Oreochromis niloticus: one gene and its partner. The protein of the gene in region 2 purifies or fractionates together with the protein of the main gene of each other region. This does not show direct contact. Links are inferred from orthologs where the notes say so. Each region holds a gene or a part of one and is shown on either strand. Other genes may lie near its edges.

Region 1 (7,474 bases), on a different chromosome or scaffold from region 2:
GCTCTAATAGATCATCACAAACACAAATCCATAAAGTCACATAAAGTCAGGCAGGTGGGGAATTTAAGGTAAAACGGTGTGTTTTTTTTAACATCCACTGACATTCACTAACACACACCTACACAGAAAAAGAGGGGGCATACCCCAAATGCAGTAAATGAAAAACTGTGGAAATAGTTGGGTCTGAAACATCACAGACAGTAAATAACAGTCCTGCATGTGACGCCAGAGAATTTCCCAGTACACAACTATGATCAGAAGTAATCAGGCCCGAGTTTACATGTTTGCCTGCCCTGGGATGTTCCCGTCTTACAACATTCACGTAACAGAAAACATGACTTAGCACTGGGGTGCCTAAAGTCAAACACTAAGGTCGACACAGTAAAACCAAGGGGGCTGCTAAATGAGTCTATGTGAAAGCGGAACTCGCGTCCCTCGATTGTTGTCATTTACAGTAACCCTGCCTGTGAGTAATGACATCTCAGAATTTGCATATCAAATAGCCCTGACTCATAAGAGCTCACCATCTCTCTCATAGAAAATGAAACAAAAGCAAAACACATCCTGTGTTGAGCGCAATAAGTTTTGCTTCTAAAATCAAGGAGAAATGGTTCAGCATTAGCTCTGTGGCCAATCTGCTGAATTGTTCTATTTGTGTTGAATGTCACCTACTGCTCCAACAGCAGTTATTTACGGTGCCCTCTGCTACACAACCAATAATATAAAACATCCTTGAACGTCAACAAAGCTTCGTGGAGCTTCATCCACTTATAAGACCACCACAGAAATCTGGTTTACTGTAGCCTCCATATTCCAGTACAGCTCCTCAACATCAGCATAATCGTTCTTACCATTGGTGCGTAAGGGCACCATCTTCTTCAGCTCCCCACACCAGTTGAGCTTCTTCTCCTTCTCTAATGAGGCCTGCATGGCTCGGTCCAGGATGGCGGCCTGAACCACCTCCCTGAAGGCCTGGGGGAAGTGGTTCATGGCGATCATCTCCAGCGTGTACCGGTGCATACCCCGCAGGTGGTGCATGAGGCCACCGCTGGCAGCAGGCTTCACCACATCGTTAGGCACTCGCTGTCGGATCTTCACTGCCTTGAGCAGGTTGGAGACAAACAGGAATTTGGGGAGGAAGTTCTGACCCTGCGACATGGCGGATGGCTGGCCAGGTGAATGGAAGGAAGGGAGGAAGAGGAGCAAGGAGGAGAGGAGGAGGAGGCACCAACCACCGATGCCGGATCAACGTGGAAACTGGATGGAGAGAAGCGGAGAGGACATGTTATTTCACAGCAGGGATTTGTGGGAAATTTTCAGTGGAGAGTCCCCTTCCTTACAAATTAAGACTTAAGGCACAACTTAATTTACAGTTTGTTTGGGAAACTACCCATCACAAAGGATGATTCCAGTGTGGAGGCTGTATGGTGCTTTTTCCTGGAGATTCTGCTGGGCCCAACTGAATAAAGTACACAAAGACCCCTTTGTATTCTTGTTTGTTCTTTTAATTCTCCTTTTTGTCTTGATGGTTTTTGAGAGTTTCCCTCAACAGGGCTTCCTAGTGTCCCACTGAGCTCAAAGACTTCCAACAATAAATGGGTGCTTTCCAGACCTTAACTGAAGGCCACCCAGGGCTTCCCAGGCTGATGGGAAGGTCACAAGGCCTCCTCCCTCAACAGCCTGCTTAAAGTCTCCGTTTAAAAGGCTGGGAATCATTAGAAAAATTATAGGCTTTCAGTACAGACACAAACACTGTTCTCAGTACAGGAGGAAGATAATCTAACGTGGGTTTACGTCACTCCCTGAAGTCATTTAAAACAAAAGCAGCTGCAGAATTATTTCCCCTAAATAAAATACAACTTTAATTCAGCTACGTTCCCCAAATTGTTATAGTAATTTGAAAGCTAGGAAAATTAGGGAAACTTTTGGCAGTTTTTATACTTTAAGTATAAAGGTACTGAGGTTCAATGCACAACCTCTATACCCAATACTCTATTTGAGTCAAGTTTGCTAAAGGGAAGGTTTTAAAGGACTACTTCCCCTCACATTTCAACACAGTGAAGACGCATTAGCAGTTTAGAGGAAGTAGAAAGTAATGGTCAGCAAGTGGGCCTGGAGTTTTGCTGACTTTTAAACTTCCCACAACATCCTTCTATCAACCTCTCGCAAGCTGCCAGTCAGGTCGGAAGATGCTGTTCGAGTCCACAAACACCTGAACAGCGAGCTTCTAGTGGCCTCTGTGCCTTTACTACCCAAACAGCAGCAGGTGCAACAACAGACTAGGCCGTGCTAAAGGGCTAGTCAGTCACATGAGGGACCAGACAACAGACACCTGGATGTCAGGGAGCATGTTGACACGAATCATTAGCGTGGCGTGCTGTCACAGCGGGGCACACTTTAAGGCAGACAGACAGCAGCACCCGGGTGGACGCTGCGGTTTAGGATGGCTGGCTACACAAAAACACAATAACAGGAGACTTTGCTGACGTTAAAGGCTTACGTAATTCCAATGACAACTACCTTTGGAACAATGTAGCGTTCAATCGCGTCTAACAGCGCGGGTATCGATACAGTGTAGCCTCGCCGATGCCACATTTGGCTGTTTAAATGTCCTGCTATCCGCTCGAGGGTGACGTCTTTGTAAACAATGGCTGTCAAAGCCACTGTCGTGAGCAGGCTTCAAGCTTCCTCCGTGTCCCCAGAAACACGACCATACATTACTCAAGGCCCAAACGTGGTCTTACCCACCAAGTCTCACCCAATTGCTAAGAAATGTGTGTCCACATGGGGAGGCACAAGGAGGGAAGGCTGGCGTCTTACCTGTGTAATATGTCGGGGTAATAACAAAGCCTCCCGGATGCTCAGGCTAGTCCTCTCTCAGCCACTTCACTCAGCCTCACCGCAGCGGTCCTCGGCGCCATTCAACCTTCTCTTTCTTTCAGTATCAGATCTATTTTGGAGCCCTCGCAGCCTGCGAAGCCTTTCAAAAGAATACACACGTACGATAATGATAGTTTTTTTAAAACAAGGAAAAAGTCCAAGTCAAAGGGGATTTCCACACGGGGACTTTCCGTCCACCCATTTTCCTCTCTCTCTCTCTCTCTCTCACTCACTCACTCACTCACTCACACACACACTCACACACACAACCGCTGTAGTTGCAGCTCACTGCCACCAGGGGAGTCTTTACTATCTGTCTGACTCGATACTGAAAAGCATATCCCACCTACTGAGCACAAAGGAGCGTCACTGAGGGAGGGAGGCAGTTCGCGTCATACTCTATTTCATGAGACAGCCTTAAAAAAATAAATCATTAACCTTCAGTATCAGCAAATGAGTAAGGAAAACGAATCTCATTACCTGGTTGTAAAATGGATTTGAGTTGCTGACTGCATGCACTGATACGTATGTGTATTCATGGTCTGATGACTAGCTATTGCAGCAATGATGCGATGGTGCTTTAATTGTTAGCAAATCATCTAAATATAATTAAAGACTTTCAGGTTCCTTCGGATTCCTGTCTTGCTCAAAGATATTTAAGAAGCAGATGTGAGCTCTTTGCTAACCCGCTGGTTCATTCACTACATTAGTAAGTTGGCTCAATGTTTATGTAAAGTGAAGTTTTCTTTTATTTTGGCAAAAGTTTCTAGCTCTTCCCACCGAAATCACAAAACAAAAATAGGTTTCCTTTTAAAGGAAGCCTCTTAACCTCCCTCCATATGTCTCCACCTAATGGAAACGTAAACTGACACTTGGTGAAATTGTGCCTCTCATTTTCATGTGAGTTCAATACTAAACATCAACAGATGATCTTTGCTCGAGTGTACCAAGAAAAGTGTGCATCTTCCATCATCCAGCAACCCACCTGACTGTGGCTGTCAAGGCGGCTAAATCATTACAACAGTCAAGTCACAAGTCTTTTGTGCACCTGTGGTTTGTTGTGGTTGACAAGTTTTATTATCTTGTCTGAGCTTCTAGTATGTGGCAGAGCATGCTTAACTGTTTTACTGCGGTCTACCATTCAGAAGCTGCAACGGAAAAGTAGTCAGAGCTTTATGTTTTATTTCCAAGTGTAGCGTTTGCTTAAATTATGCATTATGCTAACACATGCAACTTGCTGGAGTTGCATGTGATAGCATAATGCACGCGAAAAAGAGGTGTGACACATTTAGATGACATAAAGAGACAAATATTTTTAGCCTTTGTGTGATGGGTGTGTTCCAACACAAATAAAGTTTCAGTTTAGCATTTAGCAGGAGGAGGTGAAATACAAAGGTTGGAAAAGCCCGCATGCTTCAGGTTACAAAAGCAAAGTTTTTAGATAGTTTGATTTCCTTAAGTCAATCAAAAACAAAACATAAATTCAAGTTGCAGTACTACTGGGACCAAATAGTTAAAGAGCGACATATTGCTTTGCATCGACTTACTATAAAACACACCGGGGCCAATTTTTTTTTTTTTTTTTTTTATTAAAACATGCATACACCCCCTGATTTCATTTTTGATTAACTTGTCAGTTTAAGTTAAAGTCTTCTTGACTTCTTGCATTTATAAATTAAAGGAAAACTGAAGTTGACTAAGTCATTAGACAGGAAGGAGCGGTAGGATTGTATACGTTTATACTTCTCTCTACTCCTTTTGAAGCATAAAATCAGAATTGCTTATATTCAATTAATATATTTGGGATTTTGTTTTGTTGTGTTTAAAAATATGGATCACACACACAGAGACACAAATATAAAATATACTTTTTTTCACATGCACATTTAAACTGTGTCGCGTATGGCGCTGTCCTGGGCCACTTAAGATTAGAGTAATGTGCCATGACCCAATCTGTGATTCCCACCCCTAATTTTCAGTGTCATAAAATAGATAAATCAGAAAAAATAACCAAGTACAAATAGTATTTTTTGCACGACGTGCAAATACGAGTATTCGGTCCAAATCCCAGCTGTCACGGGCCGAGAAGCAGAGCACAGTTACGACAGAACTGTCGCAAATTAATGTCAGTCTGTAAATTTGTTCTCAGTTAAGTGATAGATAATTTATAATCTCATCTTTTCAGTGCTGAATCAACCATTAGAAAGACCAGAAAGATTTCAAAAGAGGATTAATCCAGCCAGAGTCACAGTAAGTGAAAGTAGCGTTAACAAGAATTTGACATCCTGACAAACATGTTTATTGTTTATTATATAAGGGTATAAGGGCAGGATTCCCGTAAATGTAGAGTAGCCCTGAAGCTGAGGTAAAACTTTATTCTATATTTTTCCACTGTGGACAAATATCCACTTTACCGCTGTGAAAGAAGATAGTTCGTCTTAATCTTGCTGTTGTTATCCTGTGCTGGTCCTCACTTTCTATTTCCTTTCTCCTACCTGTGGAAAGACTCCTACTGCTGTGTTGAGCTGCCCCAACAGTAGAAACTACATTTCAGTTTTCTACCTACTCGGGGAAAGAAACTGTTAAAAAAAACAAACACCTGACAGCATTCACGAGGAATGAGCTCTGTGAATCAGTCTTACCTTTCGAAGTTTCAAGCCGTTGCCCCTGAGGTAATGCTTTGCACGCACCGGCTGTCAAAATGAACATCTATAAAGTCACTTTGACTGACCTCAAAAATGCCTTTGATTGAGTAAGTGGGCACTTAAGAAAAACCCATCTAACTCTGGTCTGTTTTGACTGAATGCTGCTGAGGGGGCTATTGTAGATAAAGCTAAAGATTTCAGTTTCCAAACTTTTTAAAAGTTCCTTACTGAGTCACATGCTGGCTGAGTCATTGGCTGGAAGTCAATAATCAATACTAGCCGGCTGTGGAAGTGGTGAAAGCTAAGCAGCATAGTCATCAGCACATGGAAAACCCCAGAAGGGACAACTGGCCCACTCCGCTGTTTCAAATCACCAGTATGAGCAATCCTCTTTTAGTCACCACCGCCACCACTATTGTCTCATATCAATGCTGAACTTTTCCCTCATTAAATGACCTATATTAGACCAGCAGATGATACTTTAATAAAACCACCTGACCGCTGTACTGCTATTTATGCAGTCCGCATTTCCTCATAACGTCTGGAAGGATTTATGTCTGTCAAGAAAAGGTCAAAGGATTCCACAGTAGTGCATACTTTTATAACATTCTTCTCAAAACTGAATAGTTTTTCAGTTTAGTTACATTTTTTGAGGACATGCTGCACACCATGCAGAGATGGGGCAAGTTTTTGGCTAATAGTTCTTTGGGAATCCCATTGTTGGTGCAAAAATACAATTTTATGTCTGTCAAGCTTTGTTATTGTTAGCATTTTTTTTAAATATATAGAATAGGAACAAATGTGTTTTTGTGACAGGCTGCTAGTAGCAAAGTTCCAGGAGATGCATTTTATAATGGGGTCTTTGTTAAGTTGTCTGTTATGTGTAGACAGAACACTGCTTCATCCCTCTATAGTTGAATAATTCATAGGTCAGTGCTTAAAAAAACAACAACCCCCCCAAATATTCTTTTCTTAAAATAGACAGGTACAAGGACTGGACTGAAAATGAGTGAAAAAAGTAAAAAAACAAAACAACAACAAATCAAAAAACCTTTGAAAGATCTGCAGAAAGTCTGGAGAGCTATTGCTTAAGACTGCTTTTAAAATATTACACACAAGTTTAGCCTTTCCTTGGAAGCAAAATATAAAAATTCAGGGGGACTCAAGATTATTGCACAGTACCATATTTTCATTTATTTTGACACTTTTCTTCGCTACATTTATTGTTAATATTTTCTTTAAATAATTAACATACGAGGGGTCTTTTAAAAACAATTAAAGCAATAAATATAATAATAATTTAGATATGTACAATGCTTTTCAAAAAATCTAAGGACACAAATATTTTGCATTGATAAAATAAAATGATATGAAAGTACTTGCAGTATGCAGTGCAGTAAGCTCTAACCTGATTGGCTACAGCAGTAAAATATTGCTGACAAATAAATGCATCTGCAACAATAACTTACTAAAAAAGTAGATGTCAGATTGACACTTTTAGCCTCTACAAACATGATGGTTACTTACTTTTAATTGAGCAACTTCTTCAATGCAGGACTTTTTTTGTTTTTTTTGCAGAGGTAAAGGTCTTGAATACATCCTACAATGTTGCCATCTTGAAACACAAAAGTTGAACAGCTTTTTGAAACCCATGAACATGCAGACAGAGGGGTCTGCAAAGATTTCATCCTTTCTTCAAATTAAAAAAACATAAAAATGATCCAATTCAAATAAATATTGCTAGTGTGCATTATATTCCTTGGCAGTCTAATGAAACCTTGCATATTAGGGGATTTTGTTGATGCTCTAAAGGAAGCAACAGTTGCTAACATGAAGTAGAAATCTGACTCACTGAGACTTTGATAGTAACCTTTACTTTAAAATGTAGCATCCACTTTTTGATCTTAGCTGGCAGCAAGTCCGTGCTGCTGCTGCACTTACTTGCACTG
Region 2 (7,227 bases):
CTGGAAAATAAGTGTTCTTTCCAAATTTTTCCAATCACCAAATGAAGCAACAGGTGACCTAACAAATTCCTGAGCCGACACAGGAAAAGCCCCAGCACATGATACTTCACCAAAGGTCTATACTGAACACAGAAAATAATAACCCAAGACCCATGAAAAGGTCAACATAAAAGCCACAAACCAAGTTACTATCACACATCAAACAAACATAGCAGTAGGCAATAGGAATCTGTTGCCACCACAGCGCAAACTGTCACATAAAGCGTGGTCCTAAACCGCAAAAGGGTTCACAAAGCAAAGTAAACACACAAATGTCCAAGTACAAATGGAGACCCACACCCACACACGATCACAAATAGCGTGGTCGATACCACAGAAAGTTATTTCATTCGCCTAGTGAGCAGCAGCCACAAGTGACCTACCAAAAGTGGGCCAATGCTAAAGGTCACAACAGAAAAAGACTCACTTCATCTTTAAATAGCAACTGATAAATGTTGAAGCACACTCTTGGAAGTTCATCGGATGCTGTAACAAAAATAAAATATACTATATATTTTTATTATGATCGTGGATTATGGTAATCCACTGCAAATACACAGCTTTCCTGCACTGAGCAGAAGACCATCAGTGGTCATATAAGACCAACAAAACCTGAACACCTCTGTTTTAGGTTATCAGGCAACAGCCAACCATCCTATCCAATGACGAAAACCTACTTTTTAATGATTTGGTTGAACTTTTCTTTTTTCAAGGTGGAAGGATTGTACAGCATGCATCTTTAATGGTTTTTTAAAAAACAAGAACTGGGTGCACAAGTTTGAATTGATTTTGATTTTCTTTAATCTACAGGCAAAAAATTATACATGGACTCACTTAAATCTTTTAATAACTGGTGCTGAAGGTTCTACAGTGATTTTAACTTGACTAGGCCAAGACCTCATTAGTGATCATACATGATTAATAACCGCTGACAGTTTCTCTTTACCAGCATAGATCATAGAAAGGATTTGTTTGTTGGCACTAATTGGATTGATCAATACTCAGAACAATGGGAAAGTCCAAGAAACTCAATGAAGATCTAAGAAGTAACAATGCAAGTTTTGAAGGTCTCTTGGAGCCATTTCTACCCAACTGCAAATTACTATCACTCTTAGATGAAAGGAAATTGGTTGAGATATTCAAGAACAACCCAGGAACCACCAAGCCTCAAGCCTGCCATGAACTGGAAACACCAGTTGGAACACCAGCATTTATGGAGTTTTACATCACCGTGGACTGAGAGGGTGCCAACCAAGAAAGAAGCCCCTGCTCCAAAATCAGAACCTTCAAGTCCGAGTGCAATTTGCAGCTGCCCACTTGGACGAGCCAAATACTTTGTGGAGAAAGGTTTAATGGCCAGATGAGACAAAGATTGAGCTATTTGGGCACACTGATAAGAGGAGGTTTGGAGAAGTAAAGGTGAGGCTTTCAAATCTAAGAATACTGTACCAACTGTCAAGTATGGTGGGGTAGCATCGTGCTCTGTGGCTGTTTTGCTGCCAGTGGTACTGGTACATTGCACAAAGTGGATGGAATAAAGAAAGAGGAGGACTATCTCCAAATCTACATCTTTCCCTCAAATCAAAAGCTAGATGGTTGAAACTTGGGTCTAAGTTTGGGACTACAGTCCCAAACACACATCAAAAATGGATTTTGAATGGATAAAGCAGGATAACATTAAGCTTCTGGAATGGTCTTGACAAAGCCCTGACTTCAACTCTATTGAAAATTTGTGGACTTTACTTAAAAGCCAGGTTTGTGCCGGGAAACCTGCCAATTTAGATAAACTCTGGCAATTCTGCTAAGAAGGGCAGTCGAATATCCAGCCAGAATTATGCCAGAAAGTTGTTGATGGCTGCTCAAAGCACCGAGGTGTAACTTACTAAGGGACATTTAAGTTGGCGTATATGTATGTATTTGAGCCTATATGTCTAATTGTTAACCTGTGTGGATTACAGAAAATCCAAAATAAATTCAAACTTATACTTTCAATTTGTGTTTTTTGAGTCATTGAAATGTATGCTGTACAATCATTCCACCCTGGAAAAGAACAGTTTAGAGAAAGTCCAAAATTGCCACAATATTCATGACGACAATGAATCTTTGTCAGTGCTGCACCCGGCTTGAGGAAGCTTTAAGCACTAACCTTGGAAAGAGGCACCAGACCACAGATATATTTAACTACTGACCTCTGAAGTGTTATCATGTAAGTGTTATGGGGGCATAACACTTACATGATTATTATAACTGTTGGTGCTTCATTTTCCATGGACTTACTGTTTCAGCATTGCAACAAGTACTTAACAAGGCCTCTTTTCATAGCGGAAACTCTGAAGTTTATATATTTCCATTTTACTGTACTACTTAACATGAATAGTGTTTAAGGTGTTTTGCCACCTGTTCACAAGGTGTCAACCGATGACTCTTTCAGGAAGTCCCAGACATTTTACTGTCACATGAGTTCTGAGACTTGCCAATCACATGAATGAAGGTGTGAATCATCAATAAGAAGGGGTGGTGTTGCTAGGATAAGACTGTAAAAGGACTTTAGAAGGCCATAGAGAACTGAAATGATTCAGGTCAGCATTCGTTTTTTTTATAGACAGAATCTTTTGTGGAATCAGTTAGTTTCCACCCTGACACTTCTTCCCACCTTCCTACAATTTTTACACACTTTACACCTCAATTCTTGCTATTGTAACAAGTGTCACATGACTGCCATGTGACATCAAACGACATCACGGCTTCACACCGCTCATGTCTCTTGGTGTGATTGACCCAGAAATACCTGGGACTCCCCACCGGCCAGTACAACTGATGAACACTCTTGGTCTTTAACTCGGTACTCCTACTGTCTAGACAGTAGTTTCATTTTGACCTGATAATGCTTAGTACACTCTTCTTGTAGTCCAACGATGAACCTAAATGGAGCACGGTTTTGATAATGTAGTAAGTGTGACCTATATATGCTAGTTACTGTGCATTTTGTTCAAAGTGTCTGAGAAAAAGGTTACACACGTAAACTTGGAACAGTTTCAGCTAAACGATTACACACACTGTAATCTATTGGTTGTATTTATTTATTTATTACCTCCACATAAATATCTAGGTTCTTGGGACCCGTATTAAGACTATACATCCAAAGCACACATTCATTGCTAAAAGCACATCAGTCCATCATTCTACAGTATGTATTACATCTGTATTTTATACAAAATTGCATAAATATAAAGCCAGCTACAAACTGCAACAACAAGTATAATGAATTAAATTGGAATCAGTGGTGTTCTTTGTCATCCAACTGTAATTACGTTTTTGTAGTGAACACTTTTTTTATGTAGCACTTAAAAAAGAGAAATACATAAGAAAAGTAAAGATCCGTTTATTCATGAGTATTCCCATTTTGCAGTACCAAGAGGTCACCATGAACTGGAGCTGCTTCCAGTACAGCTTGGGTAAATTCTTGATTTGCTACCGTAAGAGACATTGTGTCACTTCCCAAAATATCAGAACAAAAACCAAACAAACACACACAAAAAACGGGATGACAATGTTCAGTCATAGACCGCTGCATCCTAAAATCAACCATTAATACGGCACCGGTGTGGTCCTTACTGCGTAATTCTTTGAATGACAATGCATTGCGGTGCATTTAAAGCTGTGGGAAAAAATTAAAGCCTGACAAAAATGAGTGGCGCGCATGGGGAATTTGTTATGACACTCTACGAGTAAATGCCCTAATGTGACTTTTAGGGGACTGAATGTGTAAAAACCCGGTAAACTACCGCTGGGAAATTAGCGTTTTTCATTTAGTATAATCTGATATTCCTTTCAATATTATAGTTTATACTTTCTGTAGAAAAACCTACAGCAAGCAGCATTTGGTTTGTAGAAAATAAAGTTGACTAAAGCGTAAGCCATTCCATTTTTTTCCCTTCTAAACCAAAGCTATGCATCCTTATAATAATAGTGGCACTAATAACACCGGTAAACATTTTTTTTTTTTTTACATAACTTAATTTTTGTTCGCTCTAACTAGGAGTAGTAGATTTTCCGACGTAATTGAATGCAGCAATCGTCTCTCTTTTTTCAGCCTTTAAGAGACGTAGCTTAAACTTTTAGCTACATTTAAAATATGTGTTTCTTTGTTTACCAAGTTGTGCCAAGACGCTATAAAATGTTTTTTTTTCTACCTGTGGATATCTACAGTGAACCTTTTTGAACACAAGCATGGCTCCTTTTTGACGAAGCTCAAAAAACTCCGCGGGGAAGTTCCCTAGGAAATCCCCGAAGACGGTTCGGGGGATATTATTCTCTGATGAGCCCAATTTCAGACAGTTGACGACGTTGGTCTTTTTCTGAAGACACGGGGCTCGAGGCAGAGGCGTCAAATGCTGGATTTTTAAGAGACTGGTGCGTCTGTCAAAGTCTACAAAACCCGCAATGGATAACGTCAGTATAAACAACACGGATAACGACGTGCTCAGAGACAAAATGCGGAGTTACAGCGTGCTTAATACTCTGTATCATGAGACGCGGCAGGAAATAGACCTTCTGAACAGACAGATCAGTGTAAAGGACGGTGTTATTGCAGATTTAAAAGCCAGGCTGGGGAGACACGAGAGGCTCTACATGACGGTGGGAGATAAGGAGTCTGTGCTCATTAGTCCGTCCAACTCTTTGGTGGAGAGTTTACTCAATGAAATATGCAAACTAAAACAGAAGAAGAACGAAGGGGACTTGAAGGCAGCCCGACAAGCTGAGGTAAAAACATGCTGAAGATTGTACACAGTCGATGTTTCTCCCTACAGCTCTAATCAGTGATTTATAACCATATATAGATTTTTTTTTATATCAGTTTGTTACTCTGAACTGTAAGCTGCTGTCTACTGTGACGCGTTCATTTTACAGTCTCTACTGGAGAAGTGTTCAGGGAACAAAACATGGACCATATCTGACATATCAGTTGCAAGCTGTTGTTGCCATGCCATGCCATTAATCTGTCATCATTGTTCCTCAGGAGATTCAGAGGCTGAACACTCAGCTCAGGGAGAAAGAGCTGGAGCTGGAGACCATCAGATGTCAGCCGGACCACGAGAAGGACCAGGAGATCCAAAGGCTACGGGTAGCCTTGCAGGAGAGGGAGCGGGCCGAGGCCACCAGAAGTGTCCTCTGTACCTCCCTGGCCGAGGAGGCCGACCAGCTGCGCGGGCAGCTCGGTGCAACTGTTAAGGTGTGCCAGGAGCTGATGGCGAGACTGGAGAAAGACAAAAGGGGAGGAGGAGAAGTGGAAGATGTGGCCCTTACGCAAAAGAATACAGAGGTGTGTAAATGCTTTTAGAAGTCACCAGTTGCTTTTGTAATTTCTTTTTAAATAGCTTTATAATACAGCTATTATTTTTTCAACACTTCAGGAGGGTCCTGTTGTAACCTCTGTTTTCTAATCTTTTACAGATGCCAGAGTCCTCTGAGATGGGTAGTCTTAATGCCCAAATCCGTCAGCTTCAGGAGGAGAATCAACAGCTAAAGCAGCGTGTGGCATACGTGAGTCTCATTAGTGTTATCTGAAATCAGTCAGGAAAAAAAATAGACATGTGATCTAATTATGTCCTTAAGGAAACAGATTTCAATTACTTTTGCACACAATATTAACACTCCAGTGGTGGAATATAAAACATGGTGCATGATCAAAGGTGTGACGTTTTGTTTTTTTAATTTCCTTTTAGGTACAAAGCCTGAATACTCAGTGGCAGAAGTATGACTCCAGCAGGGAGGACTATATAAGAGGTTTATGTCAGAGGCTGAAGGACAGCACCGGGCAGGGCTTGATGCCTGCGATGGGCTCCACCAACACTGGATTGCTTCATCAGGAGATTTCCAGGCTCAATGGCTTACTGGAGGAGAAAATGAGGGAGTGTGCAAGGCTTGCTAGAGAAATAGATGACATCAGAAGACAAGACAAGGAGCAAATTCAGACACTTGAGCAACAGGTTGGTGCGATTTCATGCCTGGTGATTGGCTGAGTTCTGTTAAGCACGGTTATAGTGTCAAATAACTAAATGTGAAAGATAAATTTTTAAAAAAAAATCTTTTTTGCTTCCTAAGGTTCTTATCTACACCGATGACTTTAAGTCAGAGCGTGCAGACAGGGAGCGAGCGCAGGGCCAGATTGATGCCCTGAAGGAGCAGGTTTCTCAGCTAAAACAGCAGCTGCACAAACAGGTGAGACAACAGCCCTGCACTTAGGTGCACGAGTGCCTCGACAGAAGCACGGACTTCCTTTTACTTGTTACCACCGTCCAGTACGTGTAGCTTGTGCTGACAGTGTACGTGCCTCCCTGTCTTCAGCAGGGAGCTAGCAGAGAGAGCAGAGACGTGGTTCCCTTGTGTCACGTGCACATAGGACACAGGATCTCCTCAAAGCGAAGTAAGGACACGTCAGAGCCTCTGTTGAGGACCACTGCTGAGAGGCGGCAGCAGCAGCAGCAGCAGCACCAACAGCCTGCAGCTGCAGCAGCAACCCCAAACTCTGCCTGGAACGAACACCCAGGCATGTCAGAGTTGCAGTGCCCCCAATGCCTCGCCACGTTCAGCGACACAAAAGCTGCAGAGTACCTGAACCACTGCTTAGAGTGTGCCCGAGTGTAAATGGAAGAACACTGATTTGGAAATAACAGTCATTTCTTACTGACAGTAACTGAACACTGAAGACCAGCACTACACTGCAGAAAATACCCCGAGTGGAGATTCCAATTCTGAGAAGCTTGACTACAAATCAAACAACTGACTTACCTTTTTTTCTTTTTTTTTGTACATAGAGAAACAAATCTGTACAATTGGCGCATATATATATATATATATATATATATATATATATATATATATATATATATATATATATATATATATATATATATATATATATATATATATATATATATGCCAAAAGTTTTTATTTTTTTAGTTTTTTTTTTAGTTTTTATCCAATGTCAGGTTCTAAGAGTACTCCTGTGGCATTGCGGGAGATTATTGTGGTGGGGAAGAGGATTACTGATGCAATATATATGGAATATAATATACCTCAGTGTCAAATTACAAACCTGTTGCACTTTTTTGACATTTAGTTTAAAACTTAATCGTGGAGTCGTACGATGAAAGAGATTCACGATGCATAAGCTTCTTATTTTG

The links. The genes of interacting proteins can lie anywhere in the genome.
Region 1: the proteins of tnip2 (region 2) and tnfaip3 purify together in Homo sapiens (affinity purification with western blotting; 5 studies listed by BioGRID and IntAct, with this or other methods). This does not show direct contact. The link is inferred for Oreochromis niloticus from reciprocal best matches to the Homo sapiens genes TNIP2 and TNFAIP3.

Annotation. Positions count from the first base shown.
Region 1 is NC_031978.2:11,429,206-11,436,679, reverse strand, and holds the start of tnfaip3 (tumor necrosis factor alpha-induced protein 3), read right to left. Parts: upstream 3,081-7,474; 5' UTR 2,821-3,080; intron 2,728-2,820; exon of another isoform or gene 2,521-2,727; intron 1,258-2,520; 5' UTR 1,159-1,257; coding exon 852-1,158; intron 1-851. UniProt on the Homo sapiens protein: Ubiquitin-editing enzyme that contains both ubiquitin ligase and deubiquitinase activities.
Region 2 is NC_031971.2:13,974,793-13,982,019, reverse strand, and holds tnip2 (TNFAIP3-interacting protein 2), read left to right. Parts: upstream 1-4,122; 5' UTR 4,123-4,482; coding exon 4,483-4,803; intron 4,804-5,059; coding exon 5,060-5,362; intron 5,363-5,493; coding exon 5,494-5,583; intron 5,584-5,765; coding exon 5,766-6,029; intron 6,030-6,144; coding exon 6,145-6,261; intron 6,262-6,387; coding exon 6,388-6,687; 3' UTR 6,688-6,845; downstream 6,846-7,227. UniProt on the Homo sapiens protein: Inhibits NF-kappa-B activation by blocking the interaction of RIPK1 with its downstream effector NEMO/IKBKG.